7 linked regions of the Ovis aries genome follow. The protein of the gene in region 1 binds, or shares a complex with, the protein of each later gene. Links are inferred from orthologs where the notes say so. Each region holds a gene or a part of one and is shown in the gene's direction. Other genes may lie near its edges. The genes, in order: SMARCA4, SMARCD3, SMARCD2, ARID1B, ARID2, DPF1 and DPF3.

The links.
Region 2: SMARCA4 (region 1) and SMARCD3 share a complex: the UniProt entries of both Homo sapiens proteins name them as parts of the BAF complex. The link is inferred for Ovis aries from reciprocal best matches to the Homo sapiens genes SMARCA4 and SMARCD3.
Region 3: SMARCA4 (region 1) and SMARCD2 share a complex: the UniProt entries of both Homo sapiens proteins name them as parts of the BAF complex. The link is inferred for Ovis aries from reciprocal best matches to the Homo sapiens genes SMARCA4 and SMARCD2.
Region 4: SMARCA4 (region 1) and ARID1B share a complex: the UniProt entries of both Homo sapiens proteins name them as parts of the neuron-specific chromatin remodeling complex. The link is inferred for Ovis aries from reciprocal best matches to the Homo sapiens genes SMARCA4 and ARID1B.
Region 5: SMARCA4 (region 1) and ARID2 share a complex: the UniProt entries of both Homo sapiens proteins name them as parts of the SWI/SNF-B (PBAF) chromatin remodeling complex. The link is inferred for Ovis aries from reciprocal best matches to the Homo sapiens genes SMARCA4 and ARID2.
Region 6: SMARCA4 (region 1) and DPF1 share a complex: the UniProt entries of both Homo sapiens proteins name them as parts of the neuron-specific chromatin remodeling complex. The link is inferred for Ovis aries from reciprocal best matches to the Homo sapiens genes SMARCA4 and DPF1.
Region 7: SMARCA4 (region 1) and DPF3 share a complex: the UniProt entries of both Homo sapiens proteins name them as parts of the BAF complex. The link is inferred for Ovis aries from reciprocal best matches to the Homo sapiens genes SMARCA4 and DPF3.

What each region holds. Positions count from the first base shown.
Region 1 is NC_056058.1:13,343,839-13,347,358, forward strand, and holds the end of SMARCA4 (transcription activator BRG1), read left to right. Parts: intron 1-551; coding exon 552-684; intron 685-779; coding exon 780-922; intron 923-2,501; coding exon 2,502-2,534; 3' UTR 2,535-3,020; downstream 3,021-3,520. UniProt on the Homo sapiens protein: ATPase involved in transcriptional activation and repression of select genes by chromatin remodeling (alteration of DNA-nucleosome topology).
Region 2 is NC_056057.1:115,438,143-115,442,089, reverse strand, and holds the start of SMARCD3 (SWI/SNF-related matrix-associated actin-dependent regulator of chromatin subfamily D member 3), read left to right. Parts: upstream 1-1,147; 5' UTR 1,148-1,277; coding exon 1,278-1,355; intron 1,356-3,947. UniProt on the Homo sapiens protein: Involved in transcriptional activation and repression of select genes by chromatin remodeling (alteration of DNA-nucleosome topology).
Region 3 is NC_056064.1:47,807,701-47,811,073, reverse strand, and holds the end of SMARCD2 (SWI/SNF-related matrix-associated actin-dependent regulator of chromatin subfamily D member 2), read left to right. Parts: intron 1-175; coding exon 176-271; intron 272-410; coding exon 411-512; intron 513-659; coding exon 660-821; intron 822-951; coding exon 952-1,049; intron 1,050-1,208; coding exon 1,209-1,344; intron 1,345-1,504; coding exon 1,505-1,627; intron 1,628-1,745; coding exon 1,746-1,847; intron 1,848-1,938; coding exon 1,939-1,992; 3' UTR 1,993-2,873; downstream 2,874-3,373. Other genes in the region: PSMC5 (26S proteasome regulatory subunit 8), read right to left, coding at 2,981-3,034, 3,133-3,219, 3,309-3,373. UniProt on the Homo sapiens protein: Involved in transcriptional activation and repression of select genes by chromatin remodeling (alteration of DNA-nucleosome topology).
Region 4 is NC_056061.1:81,557,612-81,561,111, forward strand, and holds part of ARID1B (AT-rich interactive domain-containing protein 1B), read left to right. Parts: intron 1-713; coding exon 714-923; intron 924-3,500. UniProt on the Homo sapiens protein: Involved in transcriptional activation and repression of select genes by chromatin remodeling (alteration of DNA-nucleosome topology).
Region 5 is NC_056056.1:140,791,306-140,795,262, reverse strand, and holds the start of ARID2 (AT-rich interactive domain-containing protein 2), read left to right. Parts: upstream 1-1,157; 5' UTR 1,158-1,684; coding exon 1,685-1,776; intron 1,777-1,890; coding exon 1,891-1,984; intron 1,985-3,051; coding exon 3,052-3,149; intron 3,150-3,957. UniProt on the Homo sapiens protein: Involved in transcriptional activation and repression of select genes by chromatin remodeling (alteration of DNA-nucleosome topology). Required for the stability of the SWI/SNF chromatin remodeling complex SWI/SNF-B (PBAF).
Region 6 is NC_056067.1:47,409,509-47,413,008, reverse strand, and holds part of DPF1 (zinc finger protein neuro-d4), read left to right. Parts: intron 1-243; coding exon 244-404; intron 405-479; coding exon 480-587; intron 588-1,986; coding exon 1,987-2,114; intron 2,115-2,385; coding exon 2,386-2,475; intron 2,476-2,867; coding exon 2,868-2,946; intron 2,947-3,129; coding exon 3,130-3,261; intron 3,262-3,500. UniProt on the Homo sapiens protein: May have an important role in developing neurons by participating in regulation of cell survival, possibly as a neurospecific transcription factor. Belongs to the neuron-specific chromatin remodeling complex (nBAF complex).
Region 7 is NC_056060.1:82,481,867-82,486,022, reverse strand, and holds the start of DPF3 (zinc finger protein DPF3), read left to right. Parts: upstream 1-1,356; 5' UTR 1,357-4,156. UniProt on the Homo sapiens protein: Belongs to the neuron-specific chromatin remodeling complex (nBAF complex).

The sequences.
Region 1 (3,520 bases):
ATCTGTTACAGAGTCATTCAGGGGTGCTTTTCAAAGGACGTCCAGCTCTGTGCTGGGTCCTGTCCTGTGGTGAGATTCACACACACAGGCTCAGCATGGCAGTTTTCCTCATTGCTGGGATGAATGCCTCCTGGCAAAGAGAGTCGCACATGCCAGGGAATGCTAGCTTCAACGAGGCCGTGCGTCTCCGACGCTAAACTGCAGGCCCTCTCAGAGCCTTTAACTGGGTGCTCGCTGCGATTCTTCACGGGGAGGGAGGGGGACTTCCCTGGTGGTCCAGTGGCTAAGACTCTATGCTCCCAGTGCAGGGAACCCAGGTTCTATCCTTGGTCAGGAAACTAAATCCCACATGCCACAACTGAGAGTTTGCGCGCCACGACTATGACCCAGCGCAGCCAAATAAATAAATACTTTAAAAAAAAAAAAAAAGAGGAACGCCTGACCTTCTGTCCAGGACCGTTTCATTGAGCTGTCCCTTGTCTGGGACCAGGCGGGCGGGCAGGCAGCCCCTCATCGGGCCCCCGACCCGAGCCCCGTGTGTCTCCACCCAGATCTATGAAGACTCCATCGTCCTGCAGTCGGTCTTCACCAGCGTGCGGCAGAAAATTGAGAAGGAGGACGACAGTGAAGGGGAGGAGAGCGAGGAGGAGGAGGAGGGCGAGGAGGAAGGCTCTGAGTCAGAGTGTGAGTCCTGGGGGTGGGGGCAGGAGGTCACATCCACCCCAAGACACCCTGGGGCCCCGCGCTCACGTCTCCTTTCCTTGTGGTCCCCTCCCCAGCTCGCTCAGTCAAAGTGAAGATCAAGCTCGGCCGGAAGGAGAAGGCCCAGGATCGGCTCAAGGGGGGCCGGCGGCGGCCGAGCCGCGGGTCCAGGGCCAAGCCAGTGGTGAGCGACGACGACAGCGAGGAGGAGCAGGAAGAGGTGAGGTCCCTGCGCCCCAGGGCGGGCGGGTCACTGGGCGTCCATTCCTCTTGCCAGGTCCTAGACCTGTGGGATGTTTTCAGACCCCCAATGCACAGACAAGGCTCAGTGTTACAGAGCGTGGGACTCAAACCCAAGTCCATGCAGCCCTGGAACCAGTGCTCTTGGAGCCACTGGGCATCTGGGGTTCAGACAGGGCATCCCTCCTCCCCACCCGACCCACACAGTTCCTACTGCACAGCCCCAGGCCGACCGCAGGGGGCGGGAGGCAGGGAGCTGGAGATGCCCTCAGAGAGACGGTCCCCGCTCCCCCAGTGCTGTGGTATCCTCACCACCCTGTGCTCCCCAGGCCTCTACTTGTGGCTCCGTCCTGGCCTGTCTCAGCGGGTTTCCGGACCGTGGTAGTGGGTTGAAAAAGCAAACCGAAAGTGAAAGTCCCATAGACCACAGTCATATGAACGGGGCTGTGAGTGGTACCTCAGTGATGGTCCCCCAGGCACACCAGGGAGGAGCCACGAGAACCGCAGGAGCAGTGAGCCCGTACAGTCTCGTGGGCCTGGGGGTAGGAACAGACTCGCTTGCTGCATTTTAATAAGTTTTGCCCTCTGGCTCCCACCTGGACGCCTGGCCCTTCCCTGCTGCAGGACCTGGGCTGTTTGCTTGACCTCTGAGCCTGCCTCCACTTCCACAAAGCACGGAGGTCAAGTGCATTTCACGGGCCCCGGCTCCCAGCAGAAAGCTTGATAAGTACCATTTCATCATCGTTAGTCTTCTTGTAGAGCTATTTGCAGTAACAGCAAAACCAGGTGCCTCAGAATAATCCTGACTGCTGACGTCTGTGGTCTTATGGGGACATTAGTCACATTCTGAACATGGGGAGCGGTGGCCTTGTTTGTGGCCAGGAGAGTCTGGGCTGTACAGCTCCCTGTCTGCCCAGTCTGGGTCCAGCAGCACCTTCTGTGGCCCTTGCTAAGGTGTTGAAAATGTTTACACAGAGGAGCAGAGATTGTACGTGGTCAGGAATAGCCAAGGTGGTTTTAAAGCTCAGGTCAGGGGAATTCCCTGGTGATCCAGTGGTTAAGACTCAGCATTTTCACGGCTGAGGGCTTGGGTTTAATACCTGGTCAGGAAACAAATACCACAGACCTCGAGGCTCAGCCACAAAAACAAACAAAAATCCCCCTACAGGTCAGGGGCACAGACAGCAATGGGACAGAGCCGAGAAGGCCCAACCTGCTTCCCAGGAACCAAGAAGGAGTCGATGTGAGGGTGCAGGGACCAGTCCTTGGGAGAAAATGACATTTGGGTGTGACCTTAGCTGCAGGGACTGAGGGCAAAGGTCACCCCACCCCACCCCCAACCTCAGAGTGGACAAGGCAGTTCTGCCTGCACTGGTGATTAAGTATATTTAAAGCAAAGGTCGGGGACTTCCCTGGTGGTCTAGTGGTTAAAACTCTGCACTTCCACTGCAGAGGGGCACAGGTTCAATCCCTGCTCAGGGGACTAAGATCCCACATGCTGTCTGGGTGCTCCCAAGGGCCAGGCTGACTCTCACTCTCTCCTCCTGTCCCCCTCCCAGGACCGCTCAGGAAGTGGCAGCGAGGAAGACTGAGTCCCGACATTCCAGAGTCTCGACCCCGAGCCCCTCGTTCCAGAGCCGAGACGGTGTTAGCCCTTAGCAGTAACGGGTAGCAGCAGATGTAGTTTCAGACTTGGGATAAAAACTGTATAAACGAAAATCTTCCATATTTATACGGCAGAGAAGATGTAGGACTGTCTGTGTCTGGCCCTGTCCTGGCATCAATAGCGTTTGTAACAGCATTAACTGTTTAAAACGAGAAAAAAGGAGAAAAAAAACGAATTATGAATTGGGGAACACACGACACCTGTCTTTCTTCCCTCTCCCTGGCAGTACTGTTGCAGCCGCAGTTTGGAATCACTGTAGTTTAAAGCTGTGGATGCATGCGTGTAGCCGTCCACTCCTTGTACTGTATTTTATCGGACAGGTCAGACTCGCCGGGGCTGGGGTCTGCAGGCCCGGCGAGGGCATGTCAGTGTCACTGGATGTCAAGCAGTAATAAATTAAACCTCCAACAAACGTCTTGGCTTCTGCTGGGTGCATTCCCGGCCCCTGGCATGGGGTGAGTGTCTGCAGCCACCCGCCCGAGCGGTGCAAGGCCCTGGGGCCTTGGGTGGGGCCTCACTGTGTCTGCGGCCCTGTCCTCCTGGCGCCAGGTCCCAGGGGGCCCGTCTCCCAGGGGAGGACACTGAGGCCCAAGCAAAGGGAAGCCTTGCGCGGATGTCACACCATCTTGACTAGCAGCCTGGGCTCGCTCTGGGTCTCTTACCACCACCATTCCCCTCATTCGTTTAAGCCCACCATGTCATGCAGAGAGCACTGATCAGTCCCTGCCCCTTTGCCGCCATGGTGGGGTCAGGAAGACAGGTCAACAGGAGGTGCCTGTTAGCAGTCTAAGTCCTGACATGGGAAGCCAGGGCGTTGTGGGAACCAGGTGATAAGCGAGAGCTTCCAAGTCCAGAGCTTACTTTAGGTCCTCTTCTGTAGTTCTTGTGTCTCCCTTAAGATTTTATGTTCAT
Region 2 (3,947 bases), on another chromosome or scaffold:
CCCTACCCCTGCTTACTTTGGGGTCCAGAGATTGGCCCTACCATACCCAGCGCCCCAGCTCCTGCGGGTCCCCCGCCCCCACCCCCAGCCCATTCCAAAGCCGTCAGGTCGCGCTGGCCTCCGCCTCGCCACCCATCCGTCCACCCCAGTTCCTTGCCTGCCCCCACGCTTCCCTTCCCGTTCTCACGAGCCTGGCCCACCTCCCTCTCTCCGAAATTTCCCCTACTGCCTCGACTTTGTCACAGAGAGACAAAGACTCACATAGCCCGAAATAGACACCCCGAGCGGGGAGACACAGACCGTGTCCAGCCACACACGCACCCGCGCCCGCCCGCGCGCGCGCGCGTACCGGAGGCTGCGGTGGAGGGAGGCACACAGAGGAGGCATTTATCTGTGCACGCACGTAAACATCCACACCCACGGCCGCCGGCCGTGCCCACACCAGGGTGCAGACACACTCAGCGGTGAGACAAGGGCGCACACATCTATGGACTGCAGGGCACACCGCCTCCGGGGCACACCCACCACGGCCGCCCGGTGCCGGAGAAAGGCCTCCTCCGGGCTCGACTCCCGCCCCCCGCCACCACCACCCCCTCCACCCACCCCGGATTCCTTCCCAGCGAAATGTTTCCCTACTTGGCCTGCCAGGTCTCTGGGGAAAAGGGCCTCAGAAATGCGGCAGGAGCCACTTGGGGGCAAAGTTGGAACGGCCTGTTCCCGGCCTGTTCCCTGCCGGCGAATTCCCTAAGCGAAAAACTATTTGCGGCGAGAGAGGCCGGGTGGCCGGCGAGCCCCCCGGCCGCCTCCCCTCGCGTCCCCTCCCCGCGCCGCCGCCGCTGCCGCCGCCTCCCCGCGGCCCTCGGGCGGCCTCGGGCAGGCGGCGCCGCTGCCCAGCGGCCCGGAGCCGCGCTGGCCGGCGAGCCTCGCCGCTTATCTGCGCTGTTTGGGCCCGGCGAAGCTTGGGAAAGGCAGGCTTCTCCGTCCCCGCCGAGTCAACAGGCGGACCCCGGGCCGCCGGACTATTTCTGTCTTATCAGTGCAGGAATGCGGCAGCCGCGGCGGCTGGCGGGCGGCGGCGGCGGCGGCGGCGTGGGCCGTGGGCCGTCAGGGCAGCCCTGAAGGGGCCCCCTCCCCACTCCGCTCGAGTAGAAGTGTGAGAGAGCCCAGCAGGACTCAGAGGGGAGAGTTGGAGGAAAAAAAAAAAAAAAAGGCAGAAAAGGGAAAGAAAGAGCAAGAGAGAGAGAGAGAGAGTGAGAGGCGCCGCTGAGCCCACCCCGATGGCCGCGGACGAAGTTGCCGGAGGGGCGCGCAAAGCCACGAAAAGCAAACTTTTTGAGTTTCTGGTCCATGGGGTGGTGAGTGGGGGAAAAGTTAGCGGGGGAGGGCGAGCGAGCTGGCTCGGGCTGAATGGAGGGAAGGTCGGGAGGGGCCGGGAGGGGGCTCCCGCTCCCCCCACACCCCACCCCACGCCTCTAGCGGGAGCGCCGCGGCCCAGCGGGCCCGGCCCCAGCCCCGTGCCGGCGCGCCCTGGGGGCGCCCGAACACGTCGTCAGGCGGCTTGGCCGGGGATGGGTGCCCCGGGGCGGGGAAGGCAGGCGTTTGCATGGGTTCCTGTCAGGGGCTTGGGGGTAGAACTTGGGGACGGTCTCCCCCAAAGTGGGTGGGTGGGTCCCCTGTGGGGACAACCCGATGGGTTGTCTTCCCTTCTTTCCCTGGTGGAGCCCAGGTGCGACCCCTGCCCTGGGAGTGGGGGGTGGGGGGACTTGGCATCGCTGCGCTGGGCTGCTTGTTCATCAGCTGGGACAGTGTCTCGGGAGCAAGGAGCAGGTGACCCTGGCGGCGCTGTGAGTGGGAAGCTCTGGGGCTGAACCACCTTTGCATCCTGGGCTGAGGGCTCCGGGGCTCTGCCCCTGGCCTCTGCCAATCAGGGCCAGAGAGAGGCCCTCTCTAGGGGCAGACCCCAGGTTAAGGGGTCTGAGGATCCTTTGGCAGCCTCCACCACCAGAAGCTGATGTCCTTAACACCTCAAAGGTGTGAAGGAAGAGCTGGAGTCAGGGACGGGAGGCCTGGAGACCAGAGGGGCAGGTTTAGAAGGCCCACTGGGAGCCTGAGTGAGCCCAGGGAGCCTGAGGGGGTGGGGACGGGTTGGAAGGGCTGTGGCATAGGAGAGGCAGAGGCTCCAGGACTTGGGACGGCCACTGGTGCTGAAGCCGGGCAGAAAGGAAGCAGTCGGGTTTACTATGGCCAAATTTGGTTGTGACCCCAAGGAAGACACGTTCTCAGTAAGAGAGGCCAGAGCCCCTAAAATGTTGGCCCTTTGGGCAGGTCACCCATCCCCGCTGGCCAGCACAGCCTTCTAGGGGCTCTGGAGGCCTCCCTCTTGGGGCCTCCTTAGCAGATCAGTGAGTACCACCAGCCTCATTAAATGGGAGAGCAGCTGATGAGGAAAGGGGCTTTCCCAAAGCAGCCTGTTCTCCAGGCCCATGGGTCCCTAGGCTAACTTCCAAGGGGTCCCCATGTTGGTTAGCCTCATGACCAGCCCTGATCTTGCTGCCTGGGGTGTCCCAATAAAAGGCCCATCTAGGAGTGAGAGAGTGTATACATGTGGATTTTTTTTTAAGTCAACTCACTGCTTCAGTTCTTGGGTGGCCTGAGCCCCACTCCCAGCGCCCTGTCTGTGCTGGCAGGGAGTGGCGGGCCTGGGCTCCATTATGGGCCACCACCCTGGAGGTGTGAGTGACAGGGTCAGGTGGGGTGGGGGAGGCAGACACATGGACAGGCAGGTCTCACTGCTGAGGCTGTGACAGGCAGAGACAGCTGGTTGGCTGGGGGTTAGGGTTAGACACGGCGCGGGCAGGAGGGACCCGGGGGAGGGGGGCAGTGCGAGGAGATTCACTAGGCTCAGGGGCAGGGCGCTTCCCTGTTCTGGGAGCAGCTGCACCCCTGGGGTGGAGTGGGTGGTGCTCAGATAGTATAACAGGGGCACAGGGTCTGTGACCGTGGCTCCCTGATCTCCTTCCTGCTCTCCTGGCCCCCGTCCACATCCTGGCCACCCTCCGCTTGACAGCCCCTTGGGCCCTCCCCAGCCTCTCTTCTGGAATGGGACAAGTGAGGTTTTACGAGTCTGTGGAACACTTCACTCGATGCACTGGGTTGTCATCTGTATCCCAGTTGAGCACCCGGGTAGCAGCAAGGGCGCACACCTGCCTCACCTGCCTCCCCGTGCCCCCTGGGAACCCAGACTTCTGACCTCACTGGGGTAGGGTGGGGAGTAGTTGTAGTCTGTAGGATGGGGCCATCTCTGGTGATTCAGGCAGACAGGAAGGGAGAGATAGATATAAGAGAAAATGTCCATCCTTTTGACCTACCCAAGCCCTCTGGACCACCCATCACCAGTCAAGCCTCATAGCCCCCCTCCCCTCAATGGGAGAATCCTGGTGAGGTCTGACCTCAGCCCCTCAAGCTGCTTCTAGCCCTACCTCCAAGCCTTCACCTTGAGAGTAAATTATGCAGGTGGGCTAATTCAGCCAAGCCCCTGACGGTAGAGGCTGGGAATCAGAGCAAGGGGGCAGGGATTGGGACGGAGGGGCAAAAGCAGGGCCCCAGAGAGGAAAGTGGGTTGAAGGCAGGGAAGGCAGGGAAGGCAGGACCCCCTGGAAATGGACTGGGAAGCAGGCAAACGGGAAGGCAGACGGCAGAAGTCCGGAGCAAGAGAGCCAGCCCTGAACTAAACGAAAGCAGCAGAGAGGGCACAAACCCCGGGCCCCTCAGGAAAGGGCCTTGCATGACCTTGGCTAGGTTGCCTCTCTCCTTGAGCCGCGGTTGCCTCATCCGTCAAGTGGGGATAGAAGGCCCTCAGTCTGTCTTGCAGAGGAGCGTGTGGATAGGAGCATCCTTTGAAAAGGTTGAAAGGCGCCATTAATATTCATCTTCGCGGCACCTTCCGC
Region 3 (3,373 bases), on another chromosome or scaffold:
CTAGGGACCCTTTCTGTGCCTCAGGTCTCACTTTTCCCTGCTTCTTTCAGGGCCTGAGAATCCTCAGTACCCTGAGCTTTAGGACTGAAACAATATTCCTCTGTTCGGGGCTTAGTATGTGGCTTAGGCTTGAACCTTCAATGGCACCCCTGTCTCACCCCCTTTACATCCCCAGCCTAGTAAACAGAAGCGGAAGTTTTCTTCCTTCTTTAAGAGCCTCGTCATCGAGCTGGACAAGGAACTGTATGGGCCAGACAACCACCTGGTAGAGGTGAGAGCGGGCCTGGGGCTTGGGACCACAGGGTGCCGTGCCCGGCGGGCAGAGGAATGGCCTCAGTCCCCTTGCAGGGCCAGGTGCGTATGTTGCCCGCCCCTTTGGTGATGAGCTTGACTCCCCTTCCTCCTGCCAGTGGCACCGGATGCCCACCACCCAGGAGACAGACGGCTTCCAGGTGAAACGGCCTGGAGACCTGAACGTCAAGTGCACCCTCCTGCTCATGCTGGATCATCAGGTGACGAGTGCCCTGAGGCCACGTCTGGGCTCACGGGGACTGTCATCTGGGGCGGGGGCAGGTGCCCATTGGAAACCCTTCCTGTCCCTGCCCTAGCCTGCTTTGGGTTTTTTTTTCCCTCCTCTGACTCCCGTCTGTCCATGCCAGCCCCCACAGTACAAGCTGGACCCCCGCCTGGCGAGGCTGCTGGGGGTGCACACGCAGACGAGGGCTGCCATCATGCAGGCCCTGTGGCTCTACATCAAACACAACCAGCTGCAGGACGGCCACGAGCGCGAGTACATCAACTGCAACCGCTACTTCCGCCAGGTAAGCGGGCACACCGCCCCCTCCCCTTCCAGCCCCCGCCCGCCTTGCCTGTGGCGCCACACCGCCCCGGGACGGGCCACTTCCCCATGTGCCCACCAGGGCGTCACCGACCCTCTGGCGCCCTCCCCAGATCTTCAGCTGTGGCCGACTACGTTTCTCTGAGATTCCCATGAAGCTGGCAGGGTTGCTGCAGCATCCAGACCCGATTGTCATCAACCACGTCATCAGGTAAACGGGAAGGGGGAGGAACGCTGCTCTCAGGGGTTTGCCTTTGACTTCAATTAAAGCCAAAGCAAAGCAGCACGTTTGGTTTCTTGCTCCCTGGGTGTGTGTGGTCTTGCCCCGGGCGGGCGGGAGGGAAGTAGCTCTCTCCCGTGTGCCGTGTAGCGTGGACCCTAACGACCAGAAGAAGACAGCCTGTTACGACATTGACGTGGAGGTGGATGACCCGCTCAAGGCCCAGATGAGCAATTTTCTGGCCTCTACCACCAATCAGCAGGAGATCGCCTCCCTTGATGTCAAGGTGGGCCCCAACCTCCTCTGGGCCCCCAGTGAGCATGGGCAGGTGTCGGGCATTTCCATTTATATAGCACCTTGGGATGGGACCTGAGTCCTTTCGGGTTGGGGCTGGAAGCAGACCTTGTCGGGGTGGGAGCCAGTCTGACACGTACCCCTTTGCCCAGATCCACGAGACTATTGAGTCCATCAACCAGCTGAAGACCCAGAGGGATTTCATGCTCAGTTTTAGCACTGACCCCCAGGACTTCATCCAGGAGTGGCTCCGTTCCCAGCGCCGGGACCTCAAGGTGTGCCCCTTTTTCCTGAGGGTGATCCCACGTTAAGCTCTGGGGGTTCTGTCCCCAGCACCGTTCTTCTGGCTCAGGGGTGGGAATTGCGTTCAGCTCTGCTCCTGGTGCTCTACAGATCATCACTGATGTGACTGGGAACCCGGAGGAGGAGAGACGAGCAGCTTTCTACCACCAGCCCTGGGCCCAGGAAGCAGTAGGGAGGCACATCTTTGCCAAGGTGAGGCGGCTCTGCCCTGGCTGGCCTGGAGGGCATACCGGAGGGCAGGGTGGGCAGCCGGGCCTGAGCCGCTGGTCTGTCCCTGCTCCAGGTGCAGCAGCGAAGGCAGGAACTGGAACAGGTGCTGGGAATCCGCCTGACCTAACTGCTCAGGGACCCCTTCCTTTCTTCCCAGCCTGGAGCCACGCCCTCAGCCTGGAAGGGGACCACCCTCTGGGGCGCAGACACGTAGGATAACGAGGGGGTGAGGGGCATCTCCAGTTACCCTCGGCTCCCCGGCTTTAGTTTCTTAAGTGTAGTGATAGGATTCCTTGTTGCTTGGTCCTCCAAAGCCTTCTTACTTACACATTGGCTTTAACTGGGTTCACGAGAGGCCTCCTGTGCCCCCTGCAGGCAGGCCTGAGAAGGACCTGGAGGCTCTGCTTTGACATTTTAACCGAGACCTTTTGGAACCAGAGGCCCCTGGCTTTGCTTGTTTACAGACCCCCTTGGGGCGAGTGTCCACGCTGGCTCCAGGGAGCGGGGTGAGGAAGAGGAGCATGGCTCCCTTTCTTCCTAGCCTTTCCAAACCAAAGTTCTTTGCCATTCCTACCAGCCCAGCCTTGCTGCTGGTAATTTCCTTTCCTTCGGGTTATTTGCACTATTTGTGGAGCAGGATTTTCTATGCGGGAGCCACTTTTTTTATGGGGGTGTGTTGGGGGTTTTCAGGGAGCCCTACTTGGGGGGTCCCTTATTTTCTTTTCTCAATCTATGCAAGCGGCTCTGGCCGCCATCATCTCCTGCGATGCCAGAGGGCTGTCACCCCAGTTCTTGGGCCCAGGGTAACGCCTCCTAGGGAGAGGGCACCCTAATTCTCTGGCGTGGCCTGAGGCGTGGGTGTGTGTGTGCTCGGTGGAGGGCAGTGGGAGATGGGGAGGACTATTGTTGCTCTTTGGAGCCTGTTAAGGAGGGTGGGCCGAGGGCTTGGCAAACGCCACTTCTGGCAGGTTTGGAAATTTCCAAATAAATCTTTGTTTATTGGTGGTACCTAGACCTGGTGATTGAACAGTGCAGCTGCTGATTAACAGACTCGAGTCCTCAAGGTCCTGACCGGTAGAGCTTTATTTGAGGGATCCACACAAAGGACGTCTGCCTCACTTCCATAGTTTCTTGATGGACATGTTTTTCTCACTGTCCTTTTGCATGACCTGGAGAGAGAACATTTGAGTTAGAGACCCAGTGAACACGTGCCCGACCCCACTGCTCGAGTCACCACCAGCAAAGGCAGAAAGGCGTGGCCCTGTACCTTAGCTACTGCCATCTCGAAGTCCTCCTGCGTGACGTGCACTCGGCGCTCCCGCAGTGCATACATGCCAGCCTCGGTGCACACGCCCTGAGCAGGGAAAGAAGGGGGAGATGCCGCTGTGCCCTGAACCCAGTGCTTCCTGCCTCTGCCCCCTTTCCCTTGGGCACTCCTGTTACCTTCACTTCAGCCCCTGACGCTCCCGGCATGAGCTCAGCAATTTTTCTCAGGTTGATCCCCCGGG
Region 4 (3,500 bases), on another chromosome or scaffold:
TGTGTTTGTGATGAACACATGTTTGCTTAAGAAATCTATTAAAATTACCTTGGCAGAAAAGTTCAAGAAATCTTAAGTCAAGAAAGCGGATCATTCTGAGAGAATGCTAGTAACTGGCCATTAATTTAGAAGGCTCTCAAATGTAAAGTGCACACACCGCTGGGTCCAATGACGTGTGACCAACCTTGTATTTTTCAACACACATCATGTATGTGCTCTACCTCCATATGATTTAGTTTTAATAAAGCCATACATTGGTCATTTATATTTTGACAAGGAAATGTAGGCATCTATGTAATGAGGAGGGGGGCTCTATAATATTACAGTTGGAACTTTAAACTCAGTGTAGCCATTCAATGAACTTGTACCCTTTTTGAAAAAAAAAGAAAAAATGACATGAGAGGTCATTGGAGTCTTGCCTTCTGGGATTCAACGCTTATATTGATAAAGTAAAAAAGATTTTTATTCTGTTTTTGTTTTTCAAGTATATAAAAGGGGGAGTTTGGGCCCTTTAGTTAAAGTAAATTTTTAATTAAGCAAATGTATACTTTGTGCCTGAACTAGTAGCCTTCATTCCTGATTGTTGTGTGATAGCAGTAGTTTTAAAATTTCTTCTCTTCTTGTATTTGGTAGCTCATTACTTTTTTTCTCGCCTTCTTCCATTTCCCTTGGCCCACTTATGCCCCATCTCCAAATGCTACCCTGGGCTCTAGAAGTCCAGCTCATCCACCACCACTGGGGAAAAGATCACAAAGGTGTATGAGCTGGGGAATGAGCCAGAGAGGAAGCTGTGGGTGGACCGCTACCTCACCTTCATGGAGGAGAGGGGCTCCCCGGTCTCAAGTCTGCCTGCGGTGGGCAAGAAGCCCTTGGACCTGTTCCGACTCTATGTCTGCGTCAAAGAGATCGGAGGTTTGGCACAGGTGAGAAAAGATGAATGAGGAGATGCTATGGATGAGCTTTGAATATGCAAACTTGAATTTTTTTTTCTCACAAAGAAAAAGCTGAGCCTCTGGGAAGGTCACTTCACTGGATCCATGTTCACGTGTGGCAGGTCGGGGGCGGGGGCTGCCCTGGGGTCAGGGACCTCGATCTGCCACCCATTCGCAGAGTGACTTCAGTAGGTCATTTATGTGGACTCAATCCTCAACGGTAAAATGAGACATTTGAGCTAGGTTTTGCTTTAGGGTCCCTAACAGCTCTAGAATTCTGTGGAATCTGTGTTAGAATTTCATAGTAAACAGAAATGTTTTGCAAATGACTAAATTGTCTGGATCAGATATAAATCAAATTCACTGTTTCCCTCTATCCAGAGCAAGTTAACAAGAAAACTGTCATCCTTCTACAACCATGTCCGCTGTACCTGGATGACAGGAGGGGCAATGCTGTCCTTTCCCACAGCTGGGGGCACCCAGGTGCAGAGTGCCCGGAGGCACTCCTATGGGGTAGTGCAGATGCCTCTCCTGCACTTGCCCCTTCATTCTGTACCCTAGGGGCCGCATTCTCCTTTCCCTGTCACAGCCCTGTTTTTAGCCCTGGGAAGGGTTTGTGTGTCCATATCCCGAAGTAGCATGGAGAAAAGGGCCTTCAAGGGTGAGTGCCTGCCGCATCCTGGGCACCATCCTTTTTCTTGTCACTTCTCTCTCAACACCCATGGAATGCAGAGTCATCAGCCCTGAAGAAGAGATGTAACAGATTGAAGTACAGTCGTCCCCTGGGGTCCACAGAGCACTGGTTCCAGGATCCCCACAAATACTGAAACCCTGTGAGCTCGAGCCTCTTTATTTCTGGAACCTACACACCACCTCCCATATACTTCAGATCATCTCTCAGTTACTTATAATACCCAATACAGTGTAATGCTATGTAAACAGTTGCTGGTACAAGTTCAAGTTTTGCTTTTTGGAACTTTCTTTTGGGCGAGGTGGGGGGGGGGGCTTTTTTTTTCTTTTTCAGTACTTTCAATTCACAATTCGTTGAATTCAGAAATACAGAACCAGGGAACAGGGAAGGCCGACTGTACAAGAATGTTGTGGCCCAGGGACTCTCAGGGTAGGTGGTGGGGCCAAGTTTGTTTGATTGCGAAGCGCATGCCCTTTATCTGCCCTTGGTTCTCCGACCTAGCTGTTCATTAGCAGCACCTGGGAGCATTTAAAACCTGTCAGTTCCTGGGCTCCTTCCCAGACTAGTGAAAGGAGCTGCTCCGGGCCTCAGGTGTTCCAGGCCTCACTATCCAAAGGTAGGTCAGCTGATGCACAGGTATCACTGAGGACCCACCCTGGTATCTGGGCTGCAGGGCTTGCAGGAGAGGCTTTTGTTCTCAGCCCTCCCTGAGGAGCCTCCTCCTACCCGAGACTGAGGCCTCCAAGTAAAGCAATTAGAGCTTGACTCCAGAAGGCGTAATCAGATGGGGTCACAGGATGCAGACCAGGTGTGACCAGGTGTGGGTGATGGCCAGCGAAGGGTTTCACCCAGCTCACAGAAGCAAGGAACCATCAGGACACCTCACTCAGCCAAGTGGACTCCCAGGTTGGGTCTTAGCTGATGAAGTTGCTTGAATGTAGTAGTGATTCCCAGCGGTGAGGCCTTGGCCGCATTGTCACTCACACCCCATCAGATGTGGTTCAAACAGGTGCTGCAGCCCCAGAGGGATCAGCTAAAAGCCTTGCTTTTCAGGGTGTCCCAGGCAGCACTCTGCCTGTGATTTCAGAAGCAGTCACAGGCCTGCCCGTTGCAGCCTGGCATTCAGTACCAAAAATGGCACTAAGCATTCTCGAGAGTATTCTCTGGTTTCTCACGCACCATTTAATACTAAGTAAATGGACATAAAGAGCTTTGTGAGGAAGTTTGAATCCAAAAATTGAACATTTCATTCAAACTCACTGTCCCTTTAACTCATGCTACTTAATACAGGACACATCTAAAGGCAAAATATTCCCCAAGCATTTGCAGGCCTTCATGTTTCCTTCGTGTGTCAGCCTCGTGTGACCTGTTCCCATTGGGAATCAGAAAGTTAAACCAATTGCTCAAATTTTATATAACATTTGAGGATTCCCTTCCTTTCTTCTCTTTTTGCAGTTGTATTCCCTCCAGCCTGAGTGCAAGTGGGAACACTGGATGGTCCTATGTGCCCCTTCCGAAGCCCACTGGTGCTGCCATGTCAGCTAGCTGGTGGCTCCACAGCTCAGACAGGGTTGATGACTTCTGCTGGACTGTTAGGTTGGGCTCATTTGGTTGGGGCCTCCTTCACCCAACACTACAAGAAAGCCTCACGTGAAAGACTGGGCATGAACAGAAATTATGAGGCTCATCTTTCTGGAAGCTTGTGGCTGTTGGAAGGAGACATTGTTTTTCTTATTAAGGCTCAGATACTTAAATTGCAAAATAATTCTGTTATTGCTTTTTAAATTAGTTTTTAGACACCCTTTTATAAAAAAAATAAGAGTGAGATGGGGGTGAGCAAGAGCACCTTTGCTCAGAGATAAATCGCCGGCTCCGGG
Region 5 (3,957 bases), on another chromosome or scaffold:
ACGGCTGACCCCAACACCCCTTGTAGATATAAACTTGTGGTAGTATTTGTTGAGATGTTACGTCTCCCATTTGAACAGCCTCTTATTTTGAGCTTCAAAAATATTTTAAACCGGGATCGTATTAAGACATTTGAGAAAAAGCAAAAACATAAGATTTTATTCAATATGTTTTAAGCAAACTATAACAGACCTTAATATAAAAATATAAACGTTAATTATTATCGCCCAAGTTCAAAAGATTGCTTCCCAATCAGTTTAATTACTGTTTGCATAACTGCACAGAATAATCTAGTTTGAGAAATGAAACCAACAAAAGTCAAGATGAATTAAGAGCATGATTCCATTTCCACAGAACTAGGACAGACAGTTCACATTGTATTTAATTTACAGTTTGCTAAAGTTAGTTTGTGGGTAAGTCATGGAAAATGTGCTAACCAGGCCCCCCCTTACTATCGCCACAAAGCTCAGAAAAGCCGATTCTTTTAGACCTTATAAAAAAAAAGGTGACAGGTTGACTTTATTCCTATCAGTGAATGAAGCTAGCGTGAGGAGCTTCCCCTCTGGGCTTCCTTTCCCTCCCGAGCTCTACACCAGTTCTGTCGGACAGGCGGGGACTCCAAGGCAGCCCTTCCAACTGCCGGGCCGGGGACGCGAACATCGCCTCCACCCCTAACCCTGGAACAACCGGTAGTGGCCGTTTCCCCGCGCCTCCCCCCTTTCCGCCGGCTTTGTGTGCGTGTGAAATGTGCGGCACATTGCAGATGAACCCTAAGCCCGGCGAGCCGAGTCTATTGTTCCCCGCGAGGAGCTGCCGGGGCGGTGTGGAGTCAGGCGCAGTGCCGCGGCCGGCCCTCGGGGGTCGCTGTGCGGCTCTGGCTGCCCGGCCGTGGCGGCGACGCTGGAGGCGGCAGAGAGGGAGGCTGGCGGGGAGGGAAGCGGGCGGGCGGCGCGCAGCGGCTCGGCTGCCGCCGGTGCCTTCTGCCCGGGGACGCCCCGGCCGCGAGGCCGCGCGTGAATGTGTGCGAGGGCCCCGCGGAGCTGCGGCCGGAATACACGCTGTCACCCCGCTTTCCACAAACCACCACACAGACCTCCCCCTCCCCACCCCCAGCCCCGCCTGCCCCAGCCCCGCCGCCGCCGCCGCCGCCGCGGCCGCCGAAACTCCCGGGCCTCCGGCCACCCCGGCCCCTCACCGTCGGCTCGCCTTTCCCCTCGCCCGCTCGCGCGCCCCCGGCAGCAGCACCATGTTGAATCGCGTCCCCGGGCCGAGCCGCCTGAGCCGGCGGCGCTGAGAGGCGGGCGAGAGCCGGGCCGCGGGAGGGAGGGAAGGAAGGGGTGGGGGCCGCGCTCGCCCCGCGGCTTCGCGCGGATCCGGCAGTCGCCTGCCCCTCTAGTTTCGCTCCGATTTCTTTAAACTTTTTTAGAAATTCCCCTCCCTCCTTCCCTCCTCTCCCCCTGGCCTCCTGCTCCCTCCTTCCCCTCCTCCTCCTCCTCCTCCCCCTCCCTCCCTCCCTCCCTGCGCCGCCGCCGCCGCCGCCGCCGCCGCCGCCACCGCCGGCCCATGACTGAGCCCCGCCGCCGCCGGCCGAGGAATGGGCTCTGGGCTCTGGTAGGAAGCGCTGGGAGCGGGGGGCGCTTTTAAAACACCGATCTGGGTTTTTTTAAAACCTCCTTTGAAAAAATAATGGCAAACTCGACGGGGAAGGCGCCTCCGGACGAGCGGAGAAAGGGACTCGCTTTCCTGGACGAGCTGCGGCAGTTCCACCACAGCAGAGGGTGAGAGCAGAACCGGGGGGGCAGCGCCGGGGCGAGCCGGGGCGAACGGGGCTCTCCCGCTCGGGCCGCCGCGGGGTCCCGGCTGACAAGTGCGGGGCTTTCTCTCTCCCGCAGGTCGCCTTTTAAAAAAATCCCTGCGGTGGGTGGGAAGGAGCTGGATCTTCACGGTCTCTACACCAGAGTCACTACTTTAGGCGGATTCGCGAAGGTGAGTGGAAGTTTTAATTTGTATTTCCCTCTCGCTGGCCTCCTCCAAAAAGTCTCCTTTGACCCCGGAGTGGGCGCTCGGGGCCGGGGGGGTGGCCTGCGGGGGCCAGAGGCGTTCTTTTCGCTCCCAGCCGGTGGCACGGAGGCGGACGGCGGCGGGGCTGTTTTTGGCCTGGTGGCTCGCGTGCGCGCGGCGGGCGCGGGGCTCGGCGGGCGGGCGGCCCGGCGCCGGCTCGCGCCCTGCCCGGTGCCCGGCCGGCCCGGCGGGGTCTGAGCGCCGCGGCGGGGAGTGCGGGCGTGCGGGGCGCCCGCCCGAGCCCCGCGCCCGCCCCGCGCCCGCCCGCCCGCTCGCTCGCGAGTCAGCTCTGCCGCCGCTGCCGCTCTAGCACAGGCGGAGACACAGAGACACACAGACTCTGAGAGCAGTTTTCGTGCAACTCAAAATTAGCGCGGGCAGGTTTAACATCGATAATCGGCTGCGAAATGATCCCGGCAGCCGGGGGCACAGCCTCGGCCCCGTCGCCCTCGGTTTATACAGCTAACAAAAGAAACCAGGACCTGTCTCCAAATAGCCATCTTAGGCTTCAAGGCTAGGCAGAAGCTGTAGGCCTCAAAGAAGGGCCTATGGAGATGGATAGATCTGGGAGAGGGATCGGAATCGGCCCCGGCCCGGGCCCCCCCAGAACCTGCGGACGTCGCTGTCCGGAACAGTATTGATCCTTTTGAACTTTTTTTTTTTTAGTGTAAACGGACCGCGTTGAGATTTAAAAGGGGGCGACAGAGGGACTTGCGATTGGTTATTGTCCGGGCTTCAAAAACAAAACAAACCCACCAACATCCCCCCTTCCGCCCCCCAAAACAAAACAAGTGCTATTAAATACAGGGCTCTCGGGTGAAAACACAGTGATTCAAGCAGCCCTTGCTTAGCTACTCTTACGGATCGAGCCGAATCACCCACCGATTCCTGAGGGATCTGCAGATCTCTGTAGAATGGGTATTTATTCAGAGTTAGGTTTGAGTTTTCTTGGATTGTGCACTTTCAGACAAGTGTGGCTGTGTTTTTAACAGGTTTCTGAGAAGAATCAGTGGGGAGAAATTGTGGAAGAGTTCAACTTTCCCAGAAGTTGTTCTAACGCTGCCTTTGCTTTAAAACAGTATTACTTGCGGTGAGTAGTAGTGACTCTAACAACAGTGTTGGGAAATAAGGGATTTATGGGGAGATTTGCTTTAGCAAAAAGAAAAAAGAAAAGCCCCAAGCAAGAAACAAACCTTGCACATCAGTTTCTAAACTTCTGCTAATTTCAGTCTGAGAAACATTAAATATCCACAAGGGAGGTTCTAAGAAGGTGAAAGTTTTCCTCACCTATTTTAGGATTGTTTACATTTTTCATACAGAATCATTACAGGTGACACCCCATCCCCCATCTTGATAAACATTCTTTTGTGACATTGTTATTGATTGTTTGATATCCACAGAGGGGCAGAAAGGTGATGCTGAGTAAAAGAATCAAGATAGTTAATGAAACTTTGTATCCCTTGGGAAATTTTTTCTTTGTTTTGGAAACTCCTTTGCCTTTTTAAATTCTGACTTGAAGATATTGTTAAAAAATGAAACCTCTATGTGGAACCGTGTTACTGAGTAGTTTTTCAGAATATTTATGCATAGCATAGTGTGTTGGTGCCTTAAGTGTCCAGGATTGTTTTTTTTTTTTTTAAGAAATTCTTATGTTTTTAGAAATTTTTGACTGACTGAAAAACATTTAAAAGGATTATTATCTATTTAGGAAAATTAGGGATGCTACAAAATGGAATACTATAATTGGGATTTTCTTTCATTCTCCCCCTTTTTTGACTATTTGACAGAGTACATTTCTTATTTAGTTGGCATGCGCTATAGTTTAGATAATATATTTTGTGATTCAGCATTACTTTTTCTGAGTTTTTCTCCTAGGAATACTTTCATATTGTAATTAT
Region 6 (3,500 bases), on another chromosome or scaffold:
ATATGTGCCTGAATGGATGTGTCCTGGTGTATCTTTATCTGTTCCTATATTGTATCCACTCCTTGGCTCGAGGCCCGCTTGAGTCCCGGGTTGGGGGCTCCTGGGTCCCGACCGGAGGGGAGAGGTGAGGTTGGAGGAATCGGCCCACCCATTCCCGACGGGTGGGCTGGGGGAGGGGTGCTGGGCGACCGGGTGCTCCTGCCCTTGCTGACAGCCGCCCGCCCGCTTACCCGCCCCTCGCAGCCTAGGCGAGGACTTCTACCGCGAGGCCATCGAGCACTGCCGCAGCTACAACGCGCGCCTGTGCGCCGAGCGCAGCCTGCGCCTGCCCTTCCTCGACTCGCAGACCGGCGTGGCCCAGAACAACTGCTACATCTGGATGGAGAAGACCCACCGCGGCCCGGGTACCGGCCGGGAGGGCGGGGGTGGGGCGGGGTGGCGGCTTCCCAGCCGCGTTCTTACCGCCCTTCTTACTCCAGGTTTGGCCCCCGGACAGATCTATACGTACCCGGCCCGCTGTTGGAGAAAGAAACGGAGGCTCAACATCCTGGAAGACCCCAGACTCCGGCCCTGCGAGTACAAGATCGGTAGGTGGGGCTCCGTCCTGTGCCTGGGGTGGCCCCGGTGGGTGCCCACACCACTGGCTGATCAGCGTGTTGATGCCCTTGTGCCTCTGAGCATCTGCCTTTATCACCCTCCCGGCCCACGTCTGAGTGACGGGCTGTGTATGCTGGTGTGTGTCTGGGGGTAGTACAGACACTCTCCAGTTTTCCCCGAGTATTTTGAACTGCGTCTTCTACTTGGACCCAGGGGTATTCCTGGGCAGAGCGTGGTATCTGTTTTGCGTGTCCAGGTGTATCCCATCCTTGTATATCTCTTCCCTTGTGAGTTGGGATGTATCAGAGTATCTGCCTGTTCTTTCCTGTGGATGTCTGAGTGTGTGTCTGGGTGTGTCAGAGTGTCTGGTTGTAACTTTTTCCATTTGTAGTACAGCGTGTCTTGGTGTCTGTGTCTCTTTTCAGGTGTTTCCAGGCTTATTTCCTCTTAAGTGTGTCTGGTCTATCTGTTCCTGAGTGTCTCTCTTCCTTTGAGTACCAGATGCTCTGGAATGTCTGGGAGAGTCTCGTCCCTGAGTGTCTGTTTGGAGTGTCAGGTGTGTTTCTGCCCGTGTCTGCTGCGCCATGAGTGCCTGGCTTTATCACGTCTCAAATGTGTCCAGCACTGATAGAGTCACTGGCTGTTTCTCTTCCCTTGCTCAGGTATAACCAAGGATCTGTGTAGGTCCAGGCAGGTGTACTGGCGTGTCCATCTGGCTCTGTCTTCCTGGGTGTGTCTGATTGTCCCAGAGGGACTGTCTGTATCACCTGTGTGTATGAGTATCCATCTGAGTGATTCTCTGGTGTCTCTCCCCTAAGTATGTTCAGGTGTTTGGTAGGGTTTGGTTGTGTTTTCCCCATGTGGTCTGGGTTTATCTGATGGTCTAATGTTCTCTTTTGGAGTGTCTCTGAGTGTGCCCAAGGGTTTGGCTATGTCTCCTCCGTGAGTCTGGGTGTATCTGAGTGTCTGGGTGTACCTCTTCCCTTGTGTTTCTGGCTGTCTCAGATGATCTGTCTGTATCTCCCTTGTGTATGTCCATGTATGTCCTGTTTGAATGTCTCTTCTCTCCAGTTGTGGGGGTCTGGGTGGGGTCTCCTACTTGTATTATGTAGTTATATAGGAGGGTCCAGCCATGTTTCTCCTGAGTATGTCCAATGGTCTCTGATGGTCTGACTGTGTCTTCTCCAGGGTCTGGGCATCCTTAGGATGTGTGGAAGTAATGAGGGTGGTATGGATGGTTGAGTATTTGAGTCTGTTGCTGGTTGAGTGTGGGAAAGCCTCTTTCCTCCAGAAAAGAGCATGATTCCCCAACCTGGGCAGTCTGAGGAGTCCTCCAGGGACAAGTTCTTCACCTGACCCCCCTTCTACCTACCGTGGTCTTGTCCCCAGACTGTGAAGCGCCACTGAAGAAGGAGGGTGGCCTCCCCGAGGGGCCAGTCCTTGAGGCTCTCCTGTGTGCCGAGACAGGGGAGAAGAAGATAGAGCTGAAGGAGGAGGAGACCATTATGGACTGTCAGGTAGGACTGCCCAGCCCCCCACCCATCCAGGGGCTGTGGCTGCCCTCTCAACCGGCCTGTGTCCTGGCCCATCTTGCTCCTGCTCTGAAATCTCCCCTGATTCCCTAGGACCTTTGAGCATCCTGTCTCCATCCCTCCACACTTCATCTCTTTTTGGGAAGACCTCCTAACTTGCCCTGCCACCCCTGATCTTTGCTGTGTCCAGAACTACCTCCCAAAGCAGAACAATACCCCGTTTCTTGACCCCAGTCTCCCTTCTCCTGGTGCCCAGAAACAGCAACTGTTGGAGTTTCCGCATGATCTTGAAGTGGAAGACCCAGAGGATGACATGCCCAGGAGGAAGAACAGGGCCAAAGGAAAGGTATTACTCCCAAACCTCCCCCCATCACCCTTCCCCTCAAGGCAGGTTCCATTGATTGCTTATGCAGTGTTCAGACCCTGCCCCAATTTTACCTTATTTAACTCTCAGAGCAGCTTGAAGGGGTAGGGGATTTTTATACCCATTTTATAGATGAGGAAATTGAGACTTGGGCATATTAAGCCATTTGCAAAACAGAGATTGTACAGGGGGTTAGAGCTATCTTCCTACACGTGGCACAGATGAGAAAATGGAACCTCTGAGAGGTCAAGAGAGTTACTCTAGACTCACAGCTAGGAAGTGGCAGAGCTGTGATTGGGCTTTCAAGTCCAAATGGTGAAAATTCTTTTAGTTCCTTCCCTTTCTTGGCCCCTCACTCCTGACTTTCCCCTCAGGCATACGGCATCGGGGGGCTCCGGAAACGCCAGGACACCGCTTCCCTGGAGGACCGAGACAAGCCGTATGTCTGTGATAGTGAGTCCTTCTGAAGAGGGGGGAAGAGAGAGAGAGAGAGTGGGACCCAGAGACCTTGCCCCCCACTGGCCCCCTTCCCTCCCGTTCTGGACCCTGGCAGAGGGGGGGAGGTGTGATCCTGGAGGCCAGGGTGGAGGCGGCAGGGGCTGGAGGGCTGACCGGCCCTCCCTGCTCACTCTCCAGTCTGTGGGAAACGGTATAAGAATCGGCCAGGGCTCAGCTACCACTACACCCACACCCACCTGGCTGAGGAGGAGGGGGAGGAGAACGCCGAACGCCACGCCCTGCCCTTCCACCGGAAAAACAACCATAAACGTGAGCAGGCGGGCAGGGCGTGGGGTGGTGAGGGGCCCTGGGAGTGGGGGCTAAGGAGCCTGGGAGGGAGGGGGCACATTAGGCATTTCTGGAAAATCTCCAGCTCAGCGGTCCCCTCCCCCCACCAACCATGGGGATGCTGGCTCTGGGGTTGCCATGGCAACCAACCATCTCTCCCTCTCTCCCGGCCGGGCGTAATATTTCTGGGTCTGATTTATTGTTTCAATTAGAGCTTGGGG
Region 7 (4,156 bases), on another chromosome or scaffold:
AGAGGGGACACATTCCTGGTTCTAATCTGCTTCTGGCTCTTTCTGTTGGGGTGGGGGATTTGGGTAGGTACTAAATGGGGAAAACTGGGGTTGGGATTTGTGAGCTTTCAGCTTTTTATGGACATTATTTTAGCCCCTTATGAAAAAGGACCCTCAGACATTTTAAGCCAACAGATGCCTAAGAACCACCTTCTCCATCTGCTTCTGGTTGCCACTGGGGTGAGGGCGGGGGGAAGCCTTAAATTCTCTAAACTTCATTAGCACACATTATTTTTCAGTGGGAAGCATGTCTGGTTTTGATGAGATACCCATAAAGGTTATTAATTTCTGCCAGAACCCAAATGGAGGCATCGCCACAGAGAACTGCTGCGGTTGCAGACCACCTGGGAGACATTCAGAGGTCTCCAGTTGAATGGGAGTTGCTTAGTTCTAGAAAGTGGCCTGGAATTCAGAGGCAACTTAATTGGAGACTTCTCATCCTCCTTTGTCTTTTTGGAACCATGCAGGTGGCTGAAATTTAGGTACATCTGAGAAACACCATAATGTCTAAAGCTGTTCCAGAGCCATCTGCTCAGATCAGTGCAGAAAATAAAATGCCATGGTCAACCAAGCTTTGTTTTGAGCTTGCACCAGAAAAGGAAAAGAAACTGAGGCTAATGTTTCAGTTTTGAAAGTACAGCCATCCTGATTGTAGTGGTGCTGGGTGTGGGTCATGAAAAGCATCAGAATTCAGGCCTGTCTATTATCCCAACCTCTGCAAAGTAACTTTTGTGGTTTCTGAGTGTTCTGAAAGTCACTAGAAGACAAATGTAGCCCAATGTGGCAAGCCCCTGAAATGCCACAACCACTGAAACAGTTTTTGCCCAGCCATGGTTTTCCAGCAGGGGCCTATGTAAGCATGACCCTAGCATTAAATAATCTTTAAACATGTAGGTATTTAACAAGGAAAGATAAAGAAGTGGCCTGGGGAGAGGGGATACGGAGGGGATAGGTAAGTGGATAAAACTACTGTGTGGTCTGGAACTCTGAGAAGATGATTGTTTAACAGCAAGAGAGACTGATGTTATGATCTATTGCAAGTTCCAAAGTTTTCTTTAGTTGTGTGAGCAACTGGGGAGAGATGAGGTGTTGTGGTGTTTTTGTAATCTGTTTTTCTTATTGGTCCGGTTACTAGTGTTTCACAGTCTGTCAACCCATATGGATGAATGGAGCTAGCATCATAAAACTGTCACTGAAGGAAGGTTTTTGAAGCCTGTGATTTGCATCAGAGTTTTAAAAGCAGTGGCTAGGAGGTGTTTGGGTCAGGGGAGGGGAGAAGAGGAGCAACCTATGCTGGAAATGTCTAGGTTGTGTGTTTGTGAATAGTAGTAGTAGGTGGGGGGTTACAAGGAAAGCAGGCTAAGATTTAGGGGGCTGTGTTTGAAAGCAGGGAGGGGCAGGAGCTCCTAATAATAGGGTTCAAATAGCCCACGTTGAGACCTTCACCTCCAGGACTTAGTTCTGAGTCCAAGGAACAATGATGATACGTGTCTAATCCCCCTTTGCACCCTCTCCTCCCTCCTCGAGTCCAGAGCTTGCTGTCATCTTAGGTTGCTATGAAATGAGTGAGTTTTTCTCATTGTTGAATATTCACTTCAAAAATCTGCTGTGGTATTAACTTCAACTGGAAGCTCCACCAGAAAAGGTTTTTCAGTTCTCAAACTTTCACCAGTCATCCCTATGTCCTTATGTCAAACTCCATCCCTCTTATACTTTCTCACCAGTGACTATGCTTTTGTAGCTTCAGAAGTAAAAGCTTCAGGGAGAGGATCCCGGAGATTTGAGCTCAGTTTTCAGCCCTACTGCTCACCAGCTATGAGACCTTAGACCCAGAACTTCTCTGAGCCACATATTCCTTGTCTTAAAGGTGAGGGTGATGCACCTTGATTGCCAAATTCCTTTCCAGTAAAAAACTGGGGCCTCTTGACTATGGTGGATTAGGAAGGATGAGGAGGACAGTTAGGGACCAGTGTTTGAATTCCTCCTCATTTTTTAAGTGTGGCTCTAAAAGGGAGTTAAGACTGGTAGGCTCTCCTGTAGTTTCATCTTCTCTGGTTCCTGTCTTGCCACCTTCTGTTGCCACTGGGCTCTGATCTCTCTCTTCTCAGCGCCCAAGGCTGAGGGCCAGGTGGTGGCCCACTGAGAACGTGGTCTTTTCTTCTGATGCTCCCTTTTGAACACTTTTCTCCTCATTAACACTCCAACCAGGGGATGAAGACGGGAAAGAGAAATGAGAAGATTAATTGGCCTATTTTTTTCTGTTTACAAGCACTCAGATTATGTTTTTGGTTGTGCAAAAGACTAGAATTATTGAGAACATCTCTCTTTTTCTTCCTGTTTTGTGTAAATGTATGGTGGAAGAAAGGGAACCGAGCAAAAGATTTTCTTCTCTGGATTTCATTTATCTACAGTCTCCTTCAATCTACTGTTCTTCTAACATGGCACCCATCCCAGTTAACATGGAAATAAATGCTTACTTCATTTCCATTTGGGCAGTTGCAAATGCCCTACCATTCAGTGAACTGCAGTGGGTGGGCCTGTACTGATGTCTCAGTGAGCTTCCTCTGTTGCACCCCGTGATGCTGCTGAGGAAATGGAGGTGTTCAGTAGACACAGAGTCTGGCCTTACGCAGGTGAGTATTAGCAGTGTCTAAAGTGGAATTCACTGCCTCTCATTCAGTGATATGCCTCCAGAACATGCCAGATTCCTCTGGAGGCATTATTATCAGGCTTTCCTTTGGTTGACAGCTAGCTCCCTTGGCAATTTTCTACATGTCTAAAGGAGGAAGAGGGGGTTGTTAAAACCATCAGAACATTCACAGAAGCCTGAATTGTGAGAATTAGGCAAAATGAAAGAAAAAACAAAATGGTCTCCTTGACCTCCAGCCTACAGAGGCAGTCCCTTAAATTTTTTTGTACTTGTGGTAAGATGTATCAATACATAACATGTATATTTAGCATGTATGACATGTAGACATACCATTTTAGCCTTTTTTAAAGTGTTCAGTTCACTGGCATTAAGTACATTCATAGTGTTGTATAACTACCAGAATATTCTGTATTCATTTCCAGAATTTAAAAAGTCATCCTAAACACACTCTATATCCATTAAACAATAACATCCTCTGTTTTAATGAGGACATCCTCCTCCCACCCCATCCCAGTGTGGTAACCACCATTGTACTTTCTGTCTGTATGAATTTGCCTGTTCTAAGCACCTCATATGAGTGGAATCATACAATATCTGTCCTTTCGTGACTGGCTTATTGCACTTAGTATAGTGTTCTTAATGCTCATCTGTGTTACAGCATGTGTCAGGACTTCCTTCCTTTTTATGGCTGAGTAATAGTCCACTGTATATATATGCCTTATTTTGCTTATCCATGCATCCAGGGATGGGTCCTGGGGTTGTTTCCACCTTGTGGCGATTGTGAATAGTACTGCTATGAACATGGGTGTGTAAGTAGCTGTTTGAATCCCTGCTCTCAGTTCTTTGGGGTATATGCCTAGACCCCCCCTTCATTTTTAGACTCACTAAGATTCATGGAGTACATTTCTAGATAGTATAGGCAACTCCTTTCTTCTAAACTTAAAAAAAATACTCATGGCATCATAGAATTCAACCTCTTTACCTGCCTCCCACTTTAGGACTACCACTATTTTGGGGGTGGAGGATAAATGCCCCAGGAACTCAGAGACTCACTTCTTTTATCCCCAGCCAGAGGATTGCCTTCATCTTGTCACCACCCCCCCACCCCCAACCCGTTGAGGGCAGGGACTCCCTTGGGGTCAGGGTCTGGATATGGGGAGGCCCCAGAGGCTGCAGCACTAGTTGTCACCTGGTGGGGCTGGAGCGAAGGTTTCCCAGGCAGTGGAGGTCTCATCAGGCAGCAGGTGTTCCTGCTGGAAACACCTGGGATGACAGGACAGCTTGAAGGTCAGGAGGTAGTAAATCTGACCTATCTTTTCATAAGGGGAGAAGGGCATGCATCTCATTTGGCCTCCCTTCCCTGCGCTAAGCCCTGCTTACCACCCCCTGAAGGGCCCAAATGAAACAATGGATGTGAAAACACTTCAGAAAGTGTAAAGTACAAATGGGAGGTGTTACTAGAGCTGC